Linked DNA regions of Coturnix japonica. The protein of the gene in region 4 interacts with the protein of the main gene of each other region in a biochemical or structural test. Links are inferred from orthologs where the notes say so. Each region holds a gene or a part of one and is shown on either strand. Other genes may lie near its edges.

What was found.
Region 1: the proteins of guanine nucleotide-binding protein G(q) subunit alpha (region 4) and PLCB1 form a complex in vitro, tested with the Homo sapiens proteins (2 studies listed by BioGRID, with this or other methods). The link is inferred for Coturnix japonica from reciprocal best matches to the Homo sapiens genes GNAQ and PLCB1.
Region 2: the proteins of guanine nucleotide-binding protein G(q) subunit alpha (region 4) and GRK2 form a complex in vitro, tested with the Homo sapiens proteins (3 studies listed by BioGRID). The link is inferred for Coturnix japonica from reciprocal best matches to the Homo sapiens genes GNAQ and GRK2.
Region 3: the proteins of guanine nucleotide-binding protein G(q) subunit alpha (region 4) and RIC8A form a complex in vitro, tested with the Homo sapiens proteins (2 studies listed by BioGRID). The link is inferred for Coturnix japonica from reciprocal best matches to the Homo sapiens genes GNAQ and RIC8A.

Annotation. Positions count from the first base shown.
Region 1 is NC_029518.1:12,402,393-12,405,892, reverse strand, and holds part of PLCB1 (1-phosphatidylinositol 4,5-bisphosphate phosphodiesterase beta-1), read left to right. Parts: intron 1-329; coding exon 330-439; intron 440-3,500.
Region 2 is NC_029520.1:143,770-147,101, reverse strand, and holds the end of GRK2 (beta-adrenergic receptor kinase 1), read right to left. Parts: coding exon 3,299-3,332; intron 3,058-3,298; coding exon 2,960-3,057; intron 2,886-2,959; coding exon 2,778-2,885; intron 2,702-2,777; coding exon 2,635-2,701; intron 2,557-2,634; coding exon 2,456-2,556; intron 2,374-2,455; coding exon 2,307-2,373; intron 2,240-2,306; coding exon 2,144-2,239; intron 2,073-2,143; coding exon 1,910-2,072; intron 1,803-1,909; coding exon 1,666-1,802; intron 1,600-1,665; coding exon 1,486-1,599; intron 1,387-1,485; coding exon 1,225-1,386; 3' UTR 610-1,224; downstream 1-609. Other genes in the region: ANKRD13D (ankyrin repeat domain-containing protein 13D), read right to left, coding at 136-609. UniProt on the Homo sapiens protein: Specifically phosphorylates the agonist-occupied form of the beta-adrenergic and closely related receptors, probably inducing a desensitization of them. Key regulator of LPAR1 signaling.
Region 3 is NC_029520.1:1,396,882-1,400,379, forward strand, and holds part of RIC8A (synembryn-A), read right to left. Parts: intron 2,413-3,498; coding exon 1,798-2,412; intron 1,236-1,797; coding exon 1,141-1,235; intron 724-1,140; coding exon 573-723; intron 1-572.
Region 4 is NC_029547.1:34,140,840-34,144,867, forward strand, and holds the start of guanine nucleotide-binding protein G(q) subunit alpha, read right to left. Parts: upstream 2,801-4,028; 5' UTR 2,656-2,800; intron 2,321-2,655; 5' UTR 2,312-2,320; coding exon 2,176-2,311; intron 1-2,175.

The DNA of each region.
Region 1 (3,500 bases), on a different chromosome or scaffold from region 4:
ATCCTGTATAGTACTTCTGTTGTTTTTATTTCTAAAATGACAGGTTTTTTTGTACTGTTCCTTTCTGTGCCTCATGAGAAGTAAAATCCAAGTTGGGTGTAAGGCCATCATAAAATGCTGTGTTCAGAAAAATAAACATCCACATAACCCAAACAGGAAATCTGAAAGAGTACATTAGAGTACTTGCATGTGATGGTATACTGTCATTCACTGCTGTTTCTATGACTTAAGATTATCTCTCAGTGGCAGATCTGTAGGAAAGGTACAGCATCTTAAAGCCTGAGGAGCATATAAGAGGTTTGGAACTGATGTATTTGTATTATTTCTAGATGTGATCGAGGCCTTATCCAATCCAATTAGATATGTAAACTTGATGGAGCAGAGAGCTAAGCAATTGGCAGCACTGACTCTGGAAGATGAAGAAGAGGTAAAGAAAGAGGTAAGGGGGGTTTTAGAGTCTCTGCAAATTACACTGCTGTGCTTAAAGATATTTACTTCACTTGGGAAGTCCTCAAATTGTGTGTATTGATTGCTTGAATACTTGCTAACATCTCATTCAGAATGAGACTAGAGTATATGACCGCACAGCAGCATTGTGCTGTGTGTGTGCTTCCACCAGAAGAAGCATGTTGTGCAAAACCTGCAGTACTGCTCAGAGGTAAAGAGAGACTAAAAGCTGACTGGGAAACAGAGTTAGGTTGTTGCAATGTTTCATGTAGCACATTAAATCATTAAAGTCAGTGCCTGTTGTTTTCCAGGGTGGTGCAAAAATTGCCTTTATGAATATATATATTTAAATATATACATAAAAATATACAATATATATATATATAGTGTGTATATATATATTATATAAGTAACAATGCTGTACGAGCAGCTTTGCCTGAAAGTATTGTACAGTATTGTAGGCTCTGTTTATAGCTCTTTGTTGTACATACAATTGCATAGATGTAATTTTGAGCATGCTTCATCATGCTGACAGTTTAGCTTTCACTTCCAATGAAGTAAGTCTGTATTCCTCCAGATGTTCAATCTCTCTTCCAGACGTTATCACTGTGACACCTTCAGCATGGTTTGAGAACATCAACTTTGTATTTTGAATATTGCTTGAATCAAAAGGCACTCTGAAGGGGTCTCTAGCAAAGATGAATACTTTCATAATCCTAAACTGCTCTCAGCTACGCTAACTGCCTTCTTCAATTCTCGGATGTGCAAAGCATCACTGAACTAGATTTTGTAACCAAGAATACATTCCCAAAGCAGACCAGAAAAGTGAAAGTCATTACAATTCAGTGGCCAACAATTTACTCTTTGTGCAGTGTCACAAGTTCGGCTGAATGAGGACACTGTGAAATGCTCAGTAGTATCTTAGACAGTTATCTAGGACACTCTACACATGAGATTCTATTTTAATAGCAAAATCTTTTTTTAACATGATCCTTTAAATACCTTAGAGGTCATTTTTACTTTTGAAAAAAGTCCAGATTTCTCTGGTCTGTACAGGCTTGTTTGCTAGAAAAATTCTATCACAGAGTATCTTCTTAAGCAAATGCGAAGATGGAAACCTGAGTTGTAGTGCTTCAGTAGTATTACCATGTGTCAGGGAGCTTTAAAGCTTTTGGGATAAAGGAGTGTACTTCAGAGTAGCAGAGAAATATTTTTAAGGGAAAACTGTATTGATTGCAGCGGTGCATTTACTAAAAATGTATAACCGTTCAATTAGATGCAGTAGAAATAGACAGGTTAAAAAAATGCCACTCAAAATGGCAATTTAAGTGTACCATTGTTACTATCTATTTATAAACTGTGATTCTAGGTAAGATAATTGGCAGCTGGGCTGTGCTTGGAAATACTGAGTTACCTGATCTTATCTGATGAAACATTTTCTTCAGCAGTCAGCAGGACTGACTGGTTTGTTTACTTACACTTGCCCACAAGAACCACGTTGATTATAAATGACAAGCACATTCACTGGCAACACAGCTAAATAATTCTGAGTATGTCTGCCAGACATGTACATGTAAGTACACCTGCACTCAGTTTCCTTATGTGCAGTTTCTGTCTACACCCTATTAATGTTTGTGTCTAAAGCTGTGCTGCCTCCACGCACATATTCCCTTCCCCACACTCCTTCCCCACTTCTCAATCACTCTTATATATCTGAGCTGCATTCTTGCATCTATCAAAGGAAAACTGAAGGCTTTTCTTTGCTACTTAGAAGTTTAAGCTGCAGCTTGCTTGGTGGGAAGTTCCCCTGACTTCTTCCAAAACAGTAGTAAAGAAAGAAATCTAGTAGTGAATTGTTCTGAATGAATAAATTTACCTTTCTCTAAGCTTCAAATTATAGTGCCTGTTAATTGTCATTTACAGCATCTATTCTGTTTGTTTTGTAATATTCCCATTATGAGTTACAGATCTAGGTGGAGTAATGGAAATTAAATTATTCTGACACGTCTTATAGAGAAACTTGCTTATACTTTGCCAAGATGGAGCCAAACTGACTTCAGGTCTTTCCTCCTGGTTTGGCAGTGCAGCACAGATGTACTCAGTACCAGAAGAGGATCTCACAATCCCAGTACATCGCAACTCTTTTTCTCTTCAGAAATAAATATGCAGCCCATATAAATAAGTACTTGTATGAGTATGTATCTTTCAACATAGTAAACATACTGTCTTGCAAAAGACATGGAAACGTGTGGAAATATACTGGAAATATAAATTCTTGGGCTGGATTGCATTGTATTTTAAAAAGAGCCTAAAATGTTCTCCACCAGGGGAAAATCATGTTTACTTTACCATTCTGTGTGATGAATTATGAGAAGAGAAAGTGCTTTTTAATGAGATTAGATTTGCTTGATGCAGTGAAAATTACTCTTTATTCACTTCCTGATCCTGTCTCACATTTCTGCCTTTGTTTCTGAAAGCAGCTGTTTTATGTCCCAAACTGACAGGCTATATTAATAGCTCTCAACAAGCTGCAATGCAGCATTTCACATACAGATATAGAAGATGACAATACCCATTTTACACATAATGACTTTTAGGCTGCCTACTTGCCAGAAGATAGGAATCCCAGCATGATGTGTGTTAAATATTGATCTATATAGATAGATAAATATTGATCTATAGATAAATTTCAATAGATAAATATTGATTTTTATATATATGAATATATATTGTCACACTAATGGATTGCATCCTGTGAGAAATGTATTTTAATGTATTTTAAGGGGAGTTGAGGGGATTACCATGCCTCTATGTGTTGGTCACAGCTCCAGCTTTTGCCCATGACATTGTTCTACTGTCAGAAATGCTGGCTAGGTTATGTTTGTCCTTATTTTATTGCAGTCACCTCTGCTTTAAAGAAGTAAAGTTTTTGGCATTAGTTTTCAGTGACATCATGTTTCTGACTACAGAATCTCTCTCCTGTAACTTTGGTAGAAATAAGCTGTTGAGTCCATTCTTTTTGCAACATAGACTGCGTTGTGAGGGCCAAGATG
Region 2 (3,332 bases), on a different chromosome or scaffold from region 4:
CACCCAGCGCTCCCAAGACCCCACGTCCCCCCATCTCCCCAGCACCTCCCCGGTTCCTCCGTGTCCCCGTACCGCCGCTGCCCCGCATCCCCCGCCGTGCCATGCCCGGTGCCGTGCCCGCGCCCCCCCCCGCACCCGGCGCGCACCGTGCCGGAGCGCAGCGCACTGTCCAGCGCCTGGTGCCGGTTGTGCCACACGAGGCGGTGCAGCGGGAAGGTGTCTGCGGCGCGGGCCATTCCCGCACCATGTCCCCGGGATCCGGGCCGGGCCGGTCCGGGCCGTACAGCGCACGGGGGCCCAGCAGCAGCTCCGCGCCTGCCCGCAATGGCTGCGCGCGGGGGTGGCGGTGGCGCGGTGCAGCGCAGCGCAGCGCAGCGCGGCGGCGCGGGGCGGGGCCGGCACCGGGTAACCCCCCAGCGCCCCCACGGCACCGGGCGCTCGCCATGTCCTCCCCACTCTCCTCGTCCCGGTGCCGCCCCGCAGACTCCGGAGCCTGACTGTGGTTTTCCACATTTTTATTATAAAAAAAACTGCTTTTTTGTTTGTTTGTTTCCCTTCTTTTTTTTGTGTGTGTGTGTTTTTTTTAGGCATTCTCACGTTTCCGCTCATCCATCCCTCACTCGCACCGTGCTCTGCCCGCCGCTCCTCCCCACGCTACTATTTACAGATGCCAGCGGGCACAGCAGGCGGAGTCGGGGGTCGTCCCCACTTCTCCTCCCCAGCTGCCTCTTCCCGCATCACCCGCTGGCTCAGGGGGCAGGGGGCCCATGGCACAGTATTTACAGGGGGGCCCCCCGGGCGCGCACACACACACACACACACACACACACACACACACACTGTTATTCACACAGGGGACTTGGCACCCACAGACGGGCACAGCCGGGCTGGGGCACGTGCGGCACAGGGAGCCGCTGCTGCCCCGTTTGGCACACGTGGGTGGTGAAGGGGGGCGGTGGTCTGGGGGCAGGACAGCAGGTGGGGACACGGGACTGCCTTCATCTGAGCCGGAGCGGGAGCAGGGAGTGGTGCTGCACGTTCAGCACCAGCTCCGCTCCAGACGGTGATGCCATGGATGTGCCCTTCCATGGGCAGGGGGCTGGCACTGGCACCAGGCGTCCTCCTGGAGCTCTGCTCAAGGACACCAAGGAGTGGGGGTACGTGGAACCCAACCCAATAAATTAATGGTAGGGTGGGAAGGGCGGGGGGAGGCAGGGCAGGGGGTCAGAGCCCATTGGCAGAGCGCTGCAGGAAGGGCACTTTGCTGAGCTCCACCACAGGTGAGCGTGGCTTGTTCTGCATGCGTGGCACCCGCTGCAGCAGCTGCTGGGCCTGGCGCTGGGCATCCCGCAGCTCCTTCTGCCACTGCACCAGCTCGGGGTCGCTCTGTGGGGAAGCACATGGCTCAGAGCAGAGCTCCCCCGACTCACCATCCTGCCATACAGTGGATTAGTGTGGCCCCCCAAGGGCCCGTGGCACACTCACATCACACTGCAGCACGAACTGCTTGCCGCCACGGATGCGGAGCAGGATGCACTTGCGCTCCTTCACCTGAGTCTCCTCCACTGAGTCAATCTCCTCCATGGTGAGCAGGGACTGCTGAGAGGATGGGCTCAGCCCAAGCCTCAATAGATGAACCCCACATCCCCCCCTTGCCCGCCTTACCGGTGACTCGCCTTCCCCACGCCACTCCAGCCGGTTGGGGAAGAGGTAGAAGTAGCGGCGCTGCCACTGGGTCAGAAAGGGGTTGCCCAGCTTGGACATGTACCCATGTACGATGCAGTCCTTGCCCATGGCGTAGTCTGTGGCCCCCGCAACACAGGAGAAAGGTTCAGTGCCAGGCACTGCCACCGCTGTGCGGTGCCGGCCGACACCAGGGATGGGGCAGGGGACACCTGGCCCCACTCACCCTCCTCGTGGCCCAGCTGCTTGTTCTTGGCTTTCTTGCGCGCCTCCTGCTTGTCTGTGTCTGCATTGACGGTGTCAAAGACGGTCTCAGTCACCTCCTGCTGCCAGCGCTCCGAGATAGTGAGTGGGAAGTTGCGGTACAGCTCCTGGTCACTCTCCAGCAACTGGTGGGGAGGTGGGATCAAGGCCTGCCCCATGCCAAGCCACTGCCCGGTGCCAGCCCCCAGCCTGCTACCTTGATGCCCTTCGTGTCCTCCTCATCAAAGGAGCCGATGTCAAAGGCGTCAGCTGCATTCACCTCACCTCGGGGCGGGATGAGAGGTGGGGTGTACTGTGGGCAGGAGGGAGGCAGTCAGGGGGTGCCTGCCTGCACAGGCTCTGCCCTGCACCCCTCTCACCTTCTGCAGGAACACCATCTGCCAGTCCAGGCCTTTGAAGAAGGGCTCCTCCTTCACCTCCTGAGCGCTGTAGGACAATGCAGGGTGACTGTGGCACTGCTGCCCACAGCGGTGCCACCCGTGGCCCCACCCCCATATCTGGGACTCACCCACGCCCCATGCAGCCCAGCCGCTGGTTGACGTCGCGCTGAAGCAGCCCCTCAAGCAGCGAGCGCAGCTCAGGGGAGAAGGATTCGGGCAGCTCCACAGCCTGCAGGGAAAGGTTTGGATGCTCACAGCCACACAGACACGTGAGTGCTGCAGCACAGTCCAAGGACCCCCAGCTCACCATGGTGAGGGTCATGCGATCGATCTCGTGCTTGTCCTTTGTCTTGTGCTGCCGGAAAGGGCTGTGCCTGCAGTCACACAGAGTGGGGCTCAGCCATGCCCCTGCTGCACAGCCTCCCCAGCACCCTCCGTGCCTACACTCACCCGCGGAGCAGCTTGAAGAGCATGCAGCCCAGCGAGAACCAGTCGGCACTGCTGTCATACGCCGTTCCCTTCTGCAGCACCTCCGGAGCCATGTAGCCATGGGTACCCCTGGGGGCACAGAGCGAGGTCAGGGCCGTGCCCAGCAATCACAGGGGAGTGCCGAGATGGGCGGGCACACTCACACGCTGGCATGGGGTTTCTTCTTGGAGAAGTCACAGGCCAGTCCGAGGTCTGAGATGCGGACATGACCGAACTCATCCAGGAGGATGTTTGCTGGCTGCTGGGACATGGAGCCACCCCTGAGCCACAGCCCAGCCCACGGCCATGGGTGGCAGCTGGGCTGAGGGTGCCTGTGCACGTTAGGATGGGTGCAATATGGGGTGCAGGGATGACTGCAGGGTCCCAGAGATGCCCACAGTGCCTAGGGGCTTCCTGCTGGGTGTAGGGTGCCCATAGGACCTGGAGGTCTGTAGGGCCCCCAGATTTCCACACAGTGGGTGGGTGCTCATGGGGGCGGTCACCTTAAGGTCACGGTACACCACGAAGCAGCTGTGC
Region 3 (3,498 bases), on a different chromosome or scaffold from region 4:
CTGTGTCCCTCTCTTCAGCGTTTCTACTCACACAGAACATCTAGAGCAGAGAAGTGCAGCAGTCAAATTTGGAGACCCTCTGGAATAACTCCAGAGAATGAAAATGGCCACTAGCTTAACAACAGTGCAAAATCAGGCTGCCAAAAGCAATGGAACAGAGGAGGACAAGCGCTTAGGAGGAGGAAAGAAAGATGAATGGTCTTGACAAATAACATTATGACTGCCAGTCTTCTGACAGCAGACTGTGGGGACAGCATCATAACAAGCCACCAGTCAAGAGATTTGGCTGTATCAAACCAATTCAGCTGCCCAACAAATCATAATTGACTTGAGTGAAACAGAGCACCTGTATTTGAATCACACAGCTAACCATCTGCTGGCTCTGTCAGTCTCACTACCTGCCAAAGCAACAGTGCCACAGCAACCCTCCCAGTTCACAAATGTTCTAGTCCAACCAACTAGAACTGCCACTTCTATACTGAATTCAGGCTGAATGCAAGCTTCCTTGTGCCCTGCAGTGAGCTTGTGTAAACCAGCAGTGAAAAGCTCTGTACAGCAGCCTCTCAGCTTACCCTGTCAAGGCGCCGTTCTAAGAAATCCAACAGGATATTAACTGCATCCATGTTGACACCCATGTACTCAAGTGATCCTGGACGGACTTTTGGAGTCAGGAGAACATCCAGACATTTCAGAGGCAGGTTGCCCAAAAGATTAACTGTGTGGCTTAAGAAAGAACAGAGGTGAATACATAGTCAAGGATCTTTGTTCACAGAAACTCATCAACTATACAGGAATCAAGGTTCATTATTAGCTTCCAGGATCAAGAGGACTCTGAAAACAGACCCAAACTCTCTTTGGGTTGGATCCCAAGCTACCTATACCACTAGAATTGAGCAAGTGTAACTGCTTTCCTTCCCCAACCCTCATAGTTGAATAACTTGCTGGAAGTCCAAAAATTCTTCAGTGACAACAGAAAAACAATGGACCTTGACACAGAGGCCAAGTAGGACCAAGTAGGTCTCTAGAGTCTCCTGCTGCATCACTCATTCATACTCTGATGGCTGTTGTCAGGCAGGGCCAGTGTTGGGGAGACCTCAAGTCTGTGTCCAGTGAAGGCCATTATGTAGTTATCTAACAGACCTGTGGAACTCCTCCGTCCGGTCCTCTCCGTCAGCACAGATCATGAGGCAGTGGCGCAGGAGTGCACCCAAGTGCCGGTACAAAGCAGCATCTTCCTGGTTCCAAAATAGAAAATGGAAACCTTGATCAGAAAAGGGTCTCCACAAACCAAAGCCTGTTGTCTCTACAACCCACAGCCCCATCCCTCCCCTCCAACAACTTGCTCACTGACAGCAGGGTGTATATGTGCAACTATCCTCCAGATTCTCCATCTGCTGCCAGATATCTTCCCCATTGCCCTACAGCACCAAGTCAGGGGCTGGAAGAGGCCCAGGAGTGGGCACAGGGATAAAATAGACATGATATCAGACCTCCTTCTGACTTTGTCCAGAGGTGAAAGGCAGCAGGACACACACAAGTGAGTTATGTGTACATGGGGGGGTTCTGCTTTCCCACTTGCACAAGTCAATATCATTAAGAAGGAAAAATGCCCAACTTACAGGTCTTAATGCTGTAAAGTCTTAATGCATCAGAGGCAGTGCCCTGCAGAACAAGGTCCACACACACAAGTCTCTTGCTACCCTTACATGCAAGCAGAGGCTGCAAGGGGGCTAGTATCTAACACAACATAAGAGTAGACAAGCAAATGTAGTGTGGTGCAACACTCGAGGAGCTTACCTCATCCACCTCCCTCTTGCTGGAATCAAAAGTAATATTGAAGAGCACTTTCAGGATCTCCATGGCTCGCTCTGTCTCTTGCCGAGGCAAAGGTGGAAGCAATCCTTCCTCAGTGGCAACCTCATAGGGGTCCATCCACTTGACACCAAGAGTCAGCTCCAGGGTGTCTGTCATCAGGCTGATGCCCCGGAGCTCCTGGGCTAACTGCTGCCGGATATCCACTCTCAGTGCTGTCAGCAGGAAGAGAAGACGCAGGTCAAAGAACTTGACTTCATGAGGAAGGCTCCTCTCGTTGTAGAGTTTGATGCGCTTTGTCAGGCCCACTGCCAGCCGGGCTTCAGCTGTCAGCTCCTGTGCTCTCGGACTGCTGAAGACAATGTTGCAGAGGCATTTGAGGGATTCCAGGATGACCTCCAAGTCCGGGACCTCTCGGATGAGCTCCTCTGAGTAATCAATGCCAGCATGCCTGGATAGGGTCTTCAGCCCTTCCTCGGTGCTGAAAGGCTCAAGGCAGTATTTGTCCCGTGACAGGATGCGGATGCTTTCCAAGCACGTGACCTGGCAGGATGGCTGGAGCTCTCTCTCCAGAAACTTGATCAGCAACTGGGCCATTTTCTGCGTGGTTAGAAACAAAGAATGCCACACATGCTGACACTTCACAGTGCAGCCCCAACGCAAGGTAGCATGCTGTAACACCTAGGAGCATCACCTAGATACAAAGCATCATCTAGATACAGGCCTTCTAACAGGCAGCTCTCAAAGCGTTTGCTTCTGGCACCTGATGCTGACCCAAGTCAAGCAAGGACAACCAGCAAGAGACAAAGAATGGCTGGGGAGTGCTGTCAGAATTAAGTGAAGAATAGGAACAGGCAGCTGCTGCTGAGTGAGTGAACTACTGCTTATTTTAGCTTCACCCATGGTTAGGATGGTTTTGGCTAATATGGATTACCTGACAGCTGCAATAAGCTAAGAGAACAGTGCAAAAAAGTCCCTTATATCTTCACTGAGAAGCAGCACTCAGTTCAACAGCAGTGGTTCAGCCTCACCCAGAGCATTAAGACTAGAGAAGCTTCTGCTTTGGGTGCTCCAAACAGGCTGCTGAGGCTGACACCAGAGAACTGCTGTGGGAGGGGAAAAAGAACTTAATGGGTTCAGAATTGTGTGTGATGTGGTAAGAAAGGAGGGGAAAAGACCTCAGAAGATTCAAATAAAAAGGACCTCCCATAAATTTCAGTGCTGTCTGGAGACCTACTACCCCTTCATAGGTACAGACTGACAGCTCCAGTAACACTGATTTACCACAGCTGAAGATATAACCCTTGTGGATAACAATAACATACATGATAGCAAACATGGAAAAGTACAAGAGCGAAAGGTAAAGCCTCACACAACCCAGTGCAGCTAGGTTGTAACTACACATAGCAACACGTCACTCCACCATTAATCCCCTGCTTCCACACACGACCCACCACAAAACTGGTCCAGATGGAGAATAACAGAGATAGAAGAAAAATGTTCTTTCCTAAAGCAGATCCTACCAAGCATATCTGCAGTGCAGCCGTGCAAAGGCCTGCCCCAGCACAAGAGAAATGCCACGAGTGGAAATGGACAGGGGTATTTCTTTCCACTGAGTGCCAGATTATTCCAGCTTAAAGGGTTTGTTAATAGACAGCTTTGGTCAAATCCTGCAGCTCGCTCACA
Region 4 (4,028 bases):
CTCCTCAAAATTATTATATATATATATTATCTTATATAATATATAAAAATGTATTATATAATTATTATTTTATTATAAAATAAAATTATTATTATTTTATTATATATTATAAATTGACGCTTGAACCTCTACCCAATGCCACGACTTCAACAGTGGTTCACCACTATCTACATTTCACGAGATGAGATCATTAAGTGTTAATCCACACAGCTGCACAGGCATACACACTTTCAGCCCAGCACAACAGCGTGACACAGAAAAACCATAAATGTGCACACAGTAACAATGTCTGCTCCAGTTTTGTTACCCAAAGACAGCCAGCCATGCTGCCCAGAGGGGCACTGAACCCACACATCCTGGTCTCTAGCACCTCTTGCTTACATCTCCCCTGGCACATCAGAACACCAGAAGAGGTGGCTTACACCACCTCCTCTACAAAGAAAGGCTGAGGGAGCTGGGCATGTTCAGCCTGGAGAAAGCTTCAGGAAGACATCACTGCAGCCATCCAGCACTTGAAGGGAGCTTATAAACAGGAGGGAGGCCAGTTCTTTACACAGGCAGATAAGAACAGGACAGAAAGGAATGGCATTAAACTAAAAAAGGGAAGATTTAGTTTAGAGATGGCAAGGCACTAGCAGAGGCTGCTCAGAGCAGCTGTGGATGCCCCATCCCTGAAGGCGTTCAAGGCCCAGCTGGATGGGGCCCTGGACAGCCTGAGTTGGTGGATGGCAGCCCTGCACACAGCAGAATTGGAATTTTATGGTCCCTTCCAACCTCAGCCATTCTGTGGCTCTACAATACAACAACATCAGCAGAAAGCTTTCCTGCAAGCAGCCCAGCAAGACACACCAGCAGCCGCCCAGAGAGCTCCTTGTCTGCCCTTGGTCTGCATACAGCCAGTGGCACTGGGTAGGTGGGCTCTCTGGGCAGTTTATTGGTGTCAATACATATTTTGCAGTTTTGAAAGCTTGGGAGAAAACTCTGACTTCACTGCAACAAAAAACATGGAAACACTTAAAAAGTTTGGACCTGAGTTAACATGCCTGGTATGCCAGCTGTCTCCGCTGAAGTGAGCGTGCATCATTCTCTAACTGTACTTAAGCTCGCATTTGTCCAACCGTATGGATGGTATCTACTCTAGTTCATCTTTATTGTGAACTCCCAAACAGCCACAACAGTCACCAGGCAGAACCAGGCCAGAAACAAGACAGAACGCCATTACTGCAAGCGCCACCTCCACCAATGTCCCTATCAGTTGAGGAGCCCCAAGCCTTCCTCCATGTCAGAGGACACAGTGAATCCCACAGAGCAACAAACAGCACTTGCACGGGGAAGCACTGCCTAACCTCTCTGTCCTGTTCCCTGCCCCACATACAGGCCATGAGAGCAGCCCTCCCTTAAAACTCAGAGGCACTGGGGAGGGCACATGGCAGCCACTGCAAGTCACGGGCAGCAACTGCACAGCCACAGTACAGGACGTGGATAAACACATTAATTTAAAAGGCTCATTTTAACAGGAGCCAAATTCCTACTAGATAAGTATCGCTGCTGCATACTTGGAGCTCCAAAACAACCGCCTCCGTTCTAATGAGAGACATACAATGCCGAGGATTTTCTTTCCTGATGGGTGGGTGGGCTCCGAAAGTACTACAGGATCCTGTCATCCTCGGCACGCCTCAGGTTGCTATCAGCTCCCTGCCCGCACGCTGGCCTTCGTCGTTTCTCTTCCGTTCGTAACGTCGCTCTACAAGCCCAGCACAGCCCCTTATCCCAGTTTACCTCATTAAATAAAAATCACAACAAATAAAAATGCGCCAAGCAAGCTAACAGCCGCGGAACAGGGCAGGGCAGTTTCCCCCGAGCCCCCATCACCCCGACGCTCGCCCCTCCCGTCCCTCGCTCTCAGCTCCATGTTGGAGGCCGCTTCCCTCCCGCACCGAGCCTACCACGGCGGGCACCCACGCCCCGCGGCGGCGGGGGCAGGGCCGGCGGCTCTCTGACGGCCGCGGCCGACAAGCCGAGAGCCCGGGCGAGCCGGGCCGGCCCCGCCGCTGCCTCAGGCCCGACCGCAGGGACCCTGGCGCGCTCCCCGGAGGCAGACGGGAACGGCCCGCACCGTGCCGCGCCGAGCCGCGCGGGGCCGGGCCGGGCCTGCCGGCGCCGAGCCGCACTCACCCAGCAGCAGCAGCTTCAGCTCCCGGCGCGCGTCCCGCTTGTCGCGGCGCAGCTGCCGCTCGATCTCGTCGTTGATCCGCCGGGCTTCCTTGGCTTCCTCGCTCAGGCAGCACGCCATGATGGACTCCAGAGTCATTCTTCCTAACTGGTTCAAACACAGCCCCCACCCCCCTAAAATCGCACGCACTCACTCTCTCGCACACCCGCACCGGCCGGAGCCCGCACCGCGCACCGCAGGGCAGGCGCGGGGACCGCCTCGATGCCGCACGCGGGCGAAGAAAGAGGCAGGGCGGCTCGGATCCCCACCGCTCCCAACCCCTCCTCTCCTCTCAATCATGCACCGCACAGCGCGGACGCCTCCACCGCGGCGGCAGCGGCGCTCCCCGGCCGAACCCCGAACTCCCCGGCGGCGGCCGCCGCCCCCGCCGCCCGCAGCGCGCACCCCGCCCGCTGTCGAGCGCTAGAGCCCGCCGAACCTACGCGCGGGCATCGCCCGGCCGCTGCCCTCGCCCTGGAGTCGGAGCCCAGCGACCTCGGCTGCGCCCGGCGAGGGAGCTTCCTCGCCCGCCCCTCTGGCGGGGACAGCCGCTGCCGTTGAGCTACCGCGGCACGGCTCGACCCTGACAGGGAAGACGGGAGAGGGGGCGGGCGGACAGAACCCGGCGGAGAGGAAGAGGAGGCAGCGGGGGCCGGGCTCGCCCGGCTTTTCAATGGCTCGGCTACGCGGGCGTGGTGAGACAGGAATATGGCGGAGCGCCGCTCCCGCGCTCCCCCTCCCGCTGCCCCACGTCGGGGGCGAGTGGCCGGGAGTGCCCGGCAGCCCGGTCGTTGCCCGTTGCCCCCCCGAGCGCCCCCGCGGCATTGGCGGTGGCGGAGGTGGAGGAGGAGAGGGTAAAGAGAAAGGGGCTAGAGGAAGGCGACTGTTGTCGCCCAGCGGCCGCAGGGATAGGCGGCCCCTCCGGCCCTTTCTGCGGGGATGCGCGGTTCCTCCCGGTGCTGCCGCGCGGGGCCCCGCCGCCCTTGTGCTGGGCGCCCACGAACATTTCCACCGCGCTTCTCCATCCTCCTCCGCGGCTGCGGCTCGCGGGAGAGGGGAAACGCATGAATTCCTGGGAAGGAAAAAGGAGGGGGGAAGACACCTCTCCACCTTCACAAGGAAACGCGAAGGTGCGGGTGGATGCCGTGCTGCGGCAAGGAGAGCCGCACAACGACGGCACCGCGCACCGCCCGTCCAGCCCGGGGACGTCCGCACCAGAACCCCACTATCGGCCCTCGGCCCCCCTCGGCGCGACGCACCGCGCGCTGTCCGCCGCAGCGCCGTGCCTGCTCCGAGCCGGCTGTACGGCCTTCCCCACCCTCCCCGCGCCGTGCCCTTTGCACCCCAACCCCGGCGACCGCGGCCGTGGGTCCGCGGGTGCGTACCGAACACTTCGCGCACGGACTGGCAGTGCAGGCGTAGAGCGGGACGCTGTGGGGGCTGAAACGGAGAGCGCAATCAGCCCCGTCGTGCAGTCAATTAATTTTGTGGGCACAAAACGTTGTTGTCGTTGCTTTAGAAAATGAACGTTCCCTACCTAGCTCCAGGTAGGGTTTTGTGTCCGATGTATAAGAACGGTCAGTGCAAGTCAGAAAGGTTTTATAATTGCATTTCTTTATCCCTCCAAATCAATATGTCTCGGTTATTAATCAGAAATGATACTTCAGTAGAGAAACATCATTTCTATTATAAAACCTTTGTGTACGTAAGTATAGCAATGTATTTGTCAGTCTATCCGGTGTCTCCAGGTTAATGCCTCAATATTAAATTGAGCGAAGGTTTTTAGAAATTGAATTTTAGATAGGACTCACATTGA